Canis lupus familiaris: one gene and its partner. The protein of the gene in region 2 purifies or fractionates together with the protein of the main gene of each other region. This does not show direct contact. Links are inferred from orthologs where the notes say so. Each region holds a gene or a part of one and is shown on either strand. Other genes may lie near its edges.

The links.
Region 1: the proteins of ATXN2 (region 2) and LSM12 purify together in Homo sapiens (affinity purification with mass spectrometry; 4 studies listed by BioGRID and IntAct, with this or other methods). This does not show direct contact. The link is inferred for Canis lupus familiaris from reciprocal best matches to the Homo sapiens genes ATXN2 and LSM12.

The regions. Positions count from the first base shown.
Region 1 is NC_049230.1:19,181,478-19,185,751, reverse strand, and holds the start of LSM12 (protein LSM12 homolog), read right to left. Parts: upstream 2,878-4,274; 5' UTR 2,765-2,877; coding exon 2,641-2,764; intron 834-2,640; coding exon 700-833; intron 1-699. UniProt on the Homo sapiens protein: Nicotinic acid adenine dinucleotide phosphate (NAADP) binding protein. Confers NAADP sensitivity to the two pore channel complex (TPCs) by acting as TPC accessory protein necessary for NAADP-evoked Ca(2+) release.
Region 2 is NC_049247.1:9,346,702-9,350,519, reverse strand, and holds part of ATXN2 (ataxin-2), read left to right. Parts: intron 1-1,825; coding exon 1,826-2,035; intron 2,036-3,818. UniProt on the Homo sapiens protein: Involved in EGFR trafficking, acting as negative regulator of endocytic EGFR internalization at the plasma membrane.

The DNA of each region.
Region 1 (4,274 bases), on a different chromosome or scaffold from region 2:
CATACATTCTGGAAATAAGAGTGTTCAAAGTACAGGACAGCAAAGACGACAGGACATGGAGTAGTATTATTTTTATAATACATGAAATTTTGCCTGATAGAACTCATGAGCCAAAGTGATTTGGGGGTGTAAGATTAACATGTAAGATACCAACATGTAAGATACCAACATGTAAGATTACTCTAAACATCTAATTCTGTCAGACCTCAAAATTCAAACATAAAGACAAAAATGAAGCTTTAAGGCAGTAGTTTTCAAATTTTTGTAGGTCATGAATCACAGATCTGCAAAATACTCCATATGTTCACCAAAACCATATATATTCATGTGTGCACACATACACACAATTTCAGGAGGTTCACAGACATCACCCCTACCCAACCCCACTAATACCAGAAGTTCACGCACGGACTCCAGGTTTTTAGAAAACAAAACAAAAAAAAACAGCCCTCTTTCACTAAGGACAAAAGTAAGTTTGCAATTTTATTTCTCTATTTGGGCATTAGAAGGTTTCTTAAGTCTGAAGGTACGCAGAAATAAGGAGAAACCTAAACCGGTATGTTTTTCAAAAAGGTATCAGAACAAACAATTTTATGTTAATGGAAAAAATGAAAAACAACAGACAATGTATGTATCACCAAGAGCCAAGGAGTCTCAATGTTTCCCATTTTGGAGCCAGAACTGCCCGCAAGTCCTTACCTTACTAACATTGAGTGAAGCTAGGGGAGGAGGGGTTTCTGTTCGGTCATTAATTATTTCCACTTCTGAAACATACTGTAAGTTTATGAGCAAGATATCTGCATGGTTGGGCTTTCCACTGGAAGAGGGACATTCTGGTGAAAAAAATAAAGTTAAGGAAAATAGAGGCAAACAGCACTGACGCATCCCAAAAGGGGCATGGAAAACAACTGAAATGAGGCTGGTGTAACAGGTGTGCCACGAGCAAGAAGGGGGAGCATTACAAGAATCCTAGCTCTCCTCAGGAAATCTCTGCCTGTCACCTTCCACCCGCTCAAAACCCCAGAACCAAAAGATCTCAAGCTTTTCAAAGCCAAATACCATCCAAAATTGGAAGCCTCAGAAAGGGTTTCCGTCACCTCTCTACTGGTTGTATGGAAGCATAATGCAGTGTTAATGCCATATATAGAGTTTGTCTTGGACCTAAGGAACCACACAGAAGAGGCATTACTCTCTGTTCTTGGTATAATACTTTCATCTATATACTGCTCTTTTCACTTTTTTCGATTTCAGATTTCCCATTCCGCAGAGGAGAAAACTATAGGACTGGAAAGGAGGCTCACTCAAGGTGAACCCAGCTACTTAACCCATTTATCTATATATGTATTTATTCATTCATTCATTCACTCACCCCTCCTCCAACTATTTATCAAGAGTATATTATATGCCAATTAAAAATAAAGTAATTCCTCATTCCAAAATCCTTCCAACTAACCCACTAATGTAAAAGGTCTTATTTGGTCCAGGTCTGAGTTTTTACATTTTACCCAAAAAAAGCAACAGTTCTTGCTGTAGAGGACATCTTCCTAAGCTAAAAATATCTACAACTAGTGGTTAAATAAATTAAAATACTTGCCACTCAAATGCAGCATTCAGTAGAAAACTTCCTTTTGAAAGATGCCATAAAGGATTACTCCTCAAAAAAATAAACCCACCTGTGGCTCAAAAAGAGGGGAAGGGGTGGTACATTTATTACAACCAGGAACTATTTTGTTTCCAAGACTGAGTTTCCTGGAGTAATTCAGAAATCATTTCCACCCCAAAGAAGCAGGCCTTCTTTTCCATTCTGTTAATCACCACCACTTCCAAAAGGGGAGGCAACTACTATGGAAAAGTCAGGACTCCATGTGCTGGGCTGAGCAAGGGAACGTAACTTACTCTTTCACCTGTAACCCACACAACCCTACACGAGCCCCTAAAAACCGTGGCCTTCTCTCTGGGACCAGGTTTCCAATGGAAACATTCTCAAAACAGCAATTTTCAAATGACTGAGAAACCTCATTCAGTACTCCCCGCCCCCAACAGCACCACGCACACACACACACCAGCAAAATAAGCCCCTATCCCCATTTCAGATACAAACTGTCCTGCAGTTACTCTCCCCCCAAAGCAGGCGAGGCCCATTTGGTCACCACCCCACCGCCGTTCCTTGAACCAAATCCTCCCAGCAGACACCCCCTCCTAAACTCCATACCCCAGCCCTACTAGCAGCTCTTTACTCTACACACCCCCTCCCCACATGATTCTACCCGCCCCCCTTCCATCCGGGCTCCAATCCACCAGCCCCCTCCCACGACCACCCTCTCTCTCTCTGGAGCACTGTATCGCCTCTCACAGCGTTTCCCCCGAAAAGGCATCCGCGTGTCAAGCCCCCCTCCACCCACTGACCCTCGCTCGGGGCCCAGCTCCCACAAGGGATGGGAGACAGGGTCCCCAAAGCGGACCGAGGGACACGCGAAGAGGGGGAGGGGAGCTCAGGGCCGTGCGCATGCGCTCCGGGCGCCGCGGTAGCCGGTCGCCCCTAGGCCCGGAGAGGGCCCCAGCCGCCGCCGTCGTCCCCCACCCCCCCACCACCACACATACACGCCGGCCCGGGCTCGGGCTCCGCGCAGCGAAGGATACTTAAAGCCAGCATTTTGGACTGGTAGTCGAAGGCTACCACCTCGCCCTGCAGCCGCTGCTCCTGGCACGTCCGGCACGACACCTGGCTCCCAACGCTGAAGTACTCGCCCGGAGGAGCCGCCATCTTGGGAGAGCAGCCGCGGCCGGCGGCGGCGGCGGCAGCAGCGGGCGAAAGCCGGGCCCCCAGTGAGCGCCGCGACGCGACGCACGAGGCGTGCTGACGTCACACGCCAGGGCGTGGCCTGGCTCTGGGTGGGGCGGGAGCCTAGGTGGAAAGGGAAAAAAGAGGAAATAAAGGGGATCTGAATAAGTGTTTGTGCAACTGCGCCCGCTTATAAAGTGCTTGCAGAGTCCATTTTAGAAGTTAAAGATAAATGACCTACGTGGCATGAAAAGAGGAAGGAGAAGGGAGCTGCAATCTCTATTATGTGCACACCTTGACACAAGACTTTAATGAATGAACTCTATTTTACATAGAGTAATCTGAGGCCCAGAGGTCTTAAGGAAACTTGCCCAAAACGATTATACCCAGTTACAAAGTACTAGTGGGAAGAACATGGCCTATAGGATTAGCTAAACTAGGATCGGAGTCCCAGGTCTGCCACTTAACTAAGTTCTATAACCTTGAGCAAATTACTAACCCTGACCCTGTATCATTACTTTTTCTATATTATTACTTACTGAGCATCCAACAATCTATTGAGGTGAGAATCAACATCTTCAGTTTACAGATGAAGAAACAAAAGTCTTAGACTAAACTTGGCTGAGGTCGCACAACCGGAAAGAATTCGGTCTACCTGTTTCCAAAGACGGTGCAATTTACTGCATTAAATAATACCTCCTAGAGTATTAGGAGGTTAAGTGAGATAATGTGTACAAATGAATGCAGTTCCTCCATGATCGCTCATCACCCTTGGAACTCAAGATGCTTCCACATCTCCTCCCATCTTGTCCTCTCTAGAAAGCCAGGCAAAGGGCAGGAATGTGGAGCAGTGGTAGTGACAAAGGTGGCCTTGGGGCAGTTTTGGCCCTCCCCCATTAGTGTCCATCTGATATACGAAATCCACCTGCTCTCATCCCCCATAGAAATTCTGGAGCCTCATTTATGAGTAACAACAGGTTGATCTTTCTCTAATCCAGAGGGAGGCAAAGGGCCAGCCTTGGCACTACCTAACCTGAACACAGTTCAAAAGCGTTTCCTTACCCTGCAAGAAACATCAACTTCCTAATGTTGGGTGTTTATTAGTACAATCATTGTAGTAGGAATAAAAGTACTGCTTGCTCCCTCTTAGTTGTGTTTTTCCAGGGAACTTTCAAGTCTGACCCCCACAAGTCACATGTAACTCCCGCTCCACTTTCTACATGGCATTGTGATTACAGTTTTTCATATATATGACTGCCCGGTACTGTTAGGAAAAGCTTCCCGGAGGAAGTGAAAAAAATCTGAGACCTGAAAGACAAGCAAGATCTCTATAAGGAGAAAGAGCTTGGTGATTTCAAGGAACATAAAGCAATTCAGAAATATTATGAAATGGAGTTGTGGGGGTAGGCTGGTAAGGGTTGTCTCACCGGAGCCTGAACAAACTTTGAAAGACCTAGAAAATGTAGGCTTTCTCCTTGGGGCAATTGAAAAA
Region 2 (3,818 bases):
TTTTAACCAAATTTCTAAATGTCCTCAATCAAATATATAGTTTTCTGAATATTTAAGATTAACATAATTGGTAAGAGCATGCATACTTTCAGTGCTTTCTGTGGAGTAGTTTTTACTTCAAAACTATTTAAAATTTGCCTTTGTGGATATCAAATTAGTAAAATTAGTGTAAGTCATTGGCATATATGATACTGTGATGAAATATGTATTAAGATAAAGTGCTAAATTTAACAGATACTCACTTGACCGAAAAACACTCCACATATTAAAGAAATTGGAAACTTTGGGTAGGTTCTCAATTTTAAAAACACCGGATGACAAAGTTACTTAGACATAGTTTATATGGAAAATCTTAGTCTGTGTGAAACAGTGGTTCATATAGATTAATTCTTATTAACTGTTGACCCATTAATATTCTGCTTACTTCCAAGAAAGGATTTGAGGTATACAAATACATGTACATACAAGACATGACCAAGAGTCATGTGAGGAAGATGAAGTTCAAGAAATGTGTTTAAAAAAAAAAAACAACTCTTAGTCAAAGGGTGGATATTGAAGCTTAGCGTAAGTACAGTGACAGATTTGCATCTTTAGTAGGAAGATATTTTTCTGCTCTGCCTCTAAATCTAAGATTGAATATAGCTTATAGGTCATGGATCCTTCATGTGAGTCAGGAATACTGGACAGCAATACTATCTTACTAACCTAAGGGACAAAGTGAACATTCAGTTTAAGCCGTTTAGGTTCAGAAAGTTAGAAAAGTAGAGAACACTAAGTTTCCAATTTCAGTTATTTCTGTTGAGTCTTTCTCCAGAATTCCTCTCCAAATAAACACTCTTGAGTATTTTCTGTACTTAGTATTGGGGATGAAATTTCTTTGCTCACTGAGTAAAGAATTTTAGTTGTTCATGAACAGAATTTTCAAGTAAAAAGCTGAAGGGGGCTAGGAAATGTATGATACTCAAGTGTGTGGAACCCTATGGAGAGGAGACCTGGACTGTTTCCTGAGATAAGGTAAGTGCTATGTAATGTTACACATAGTGTATCTTGATCTTTGCATATCCATTATTGTCAATTTATTTGGTGATGACTGCTCTATAGTTGCATTGTTTATTAAGCAGTCACTTAAATAAGTGTTCAACTGCATAAATTGCTTAGCAGGCCCCCCCCCCTTTTCTAATTTGATAAGATCAAAATGTTTTTTGAAAAGGTGATGAATATTAACCTTTGTCACTCCTGTGACTCTAAAAAATAGAAGTAATGTTTTATTTCTACTAAATGGACTTGCTTAATGAGATTTCAAACTGAATTTTACCTTCAAGTATAAACTATATGAAAATCACAGATGGTTATAAAAAAACCCAGCATTTTTAATGGGATATACTAGTTGCTGCTTATTTTCATGTTTCAAAAGCTAAAACTAATATAGTAAGTAGTCTTATTTCTAAGTTTTGTGATTTATTGTGTGAAATTATCTAGTTTATGTTATATTCCTTTTAATAATTGATTATTGAGAAACAGTTATAGAAGCAGGATTAATAGGCAAAGTCTTAACTGTCTTCTTCAATAGTATGTGTAGATCCTAATTAACCCTTTGGGAACGTGTGTTCATTTAAACAGACTTAATTTTAAGGAGGTTAAAGTAAAATGTGAATTCATGTGAGTTAAGTTATGCTAAAACTTATCACAATTCAAATGACTGTCCTCAAAGGGTTAAAATGTACAAGAAATCATTTTTGTCATTTTACTTTTTTTTCTGTTTACTTTTTTCCCTCATTTTTTTCTTTAGTTTTTATACTTTCCTTCATATCATTTGTTCTGTCAGGTGTTCCCTGGCCATCGCCTTGCCCATCTCCTTCCTCTCGCCCACCTTCTCGCTACCAGTCAGGTCCCAACTCTCTTCCACCTCGGGCAGCCACCCCTACACGGCCGCCCTCCAGGCCCCCCTCGCGGCCATCCAGACCCCCGTCTCACCCCTCTGCTCATGGTTCTCCAGCTCCTGTCTCTACTATGCCTAAACGCATGTCTTCAGAAGGTACAATACCACAATTTGTTCATGTTTTTGTTTGTCTTTGTTTAACTCCTATGTGAGTTTATAATTACAAAATAGTTTCCTCTTCATTATTTAATAACCTATAATTTCCGTGTTTTAACTTTAGTTTATTAAAACTATTTCTATTAACCTTTTGTTCACTAGAGAGAAATTGAATAAATGCTGTGTGAAGCTATGAACTATCTTGGATTATAAGAATGGGAGTTTATCTTTGGTAATAATGATGATCCTTTACAGCCCCAGAAGGTCTACCTCATGTTTTTGTCCCTCTCAATATACACTATAAACAGTGGTTAATGATAAACAGTGGAACTCTGTTCACCTGGTCTTGGACTTACTACAGAACCTATCATTTTACAGCTCCTTGGCCAAGGTACTAGTGAACCTACTTGTTGGCCATAGGCAGTAGTGGTGATTTAGGGGTTCTTTTTGAGAGGGACATTCCATATAGCTGCCTTTGTGTGTCTACTCTTAGATTATAATACAGAGATTGGTTTTATATTGGAGGAATTTAAGAAAATTACCTTTGTAATATGTTCTAGTGAAAGTCTTAATCTGAAAGAAGTCCTTGATCATCTAAGATAAAACATTGTTAATAAAAACCATTTGTCCTTGTCAAAAAAAAATCCTTTAATTCTCATGCAATGTTTGATGGTAATACCACCATTGATATATATCAAATACATGAAGGTATTATAGAAAGGTCACATTTTAATATAAATGCAGTGCATATGTTAAAAAAAGCTACTTCCTGAATGATAAGTCCTTTTAATGCTATCTCAGGGTATTTGTGTTAACATTTTAATCTGATTTGTTCATTAAAATCATAATTGATATAGCTTATGTTGAGACTAAGACCGTTTTCTGGCATAAAGTGCTTCCCTGGAGAAAGCTATGTTGGCTACTTTTCAATAAATTGTTGCCATCTAGGGAGAGGGAGGTCATGTGATCTTGATTTAAGTGGCTAACATTGAACAGCATGTTGCATTGATTTTCAAGGTGACTTCCTTGCTGGAAAGTGCTGGTAATGGTAACCACTAAATGAAAAGTTAAAATCTGTTTTAGTATTAGTTGTAGTGCATTGTTTGAACAAAATAGGACTCCTTAGTGAGTATGAATATCTTCACTACAACAAGTTGTAGGCTGCTTATGGAGGGACTGTTTACACAGAAGTATACCTTTTGCACATTCAGAGCTGCTACATTATGCAGTCTTTTTAACTAATTTGAATTAAAATGTTTTCCAGTTATGTAGTCAGGTGACACACATTTTTAAAGTGTGAACTTCAAACATAGAACTATTAAATACATAGAACTATTAAATAAACTATTAAATTCACAGTGGTTTTCTGTGTTTAATATAGAAGAGTAGTTTGTATTCTACATATTACCAAAAAGAAAGAATTGTTTTTCAAGTTAGAGTTTAATTTCATTGAGCTATACCAAGTCTTATGACTTCTTGGTCTTTTTCTCTAAATGGATATAAAAAAATATATATGATGTGTAGATACCCAATTCTTAAGTCATTTTTTATATAAATCATTTCTTCAGTTGAAAACTAAAATATATAACATTAACATTTCTTTTTAAGATTGTGTCCATGATTAAATTCCTACTGAGGGCACAAGTTTATTTGACATGCTCAAGAGTTTGGAAAAAAAAAAAAAGAGTTTGACTGGAAGGTCAAAATGAGAACCATTGGCTTTGACATTAAGAACAAGTTTTGCTGAATATTAGTACTGCCTGGCTTTTCCACTGAGAGCTGT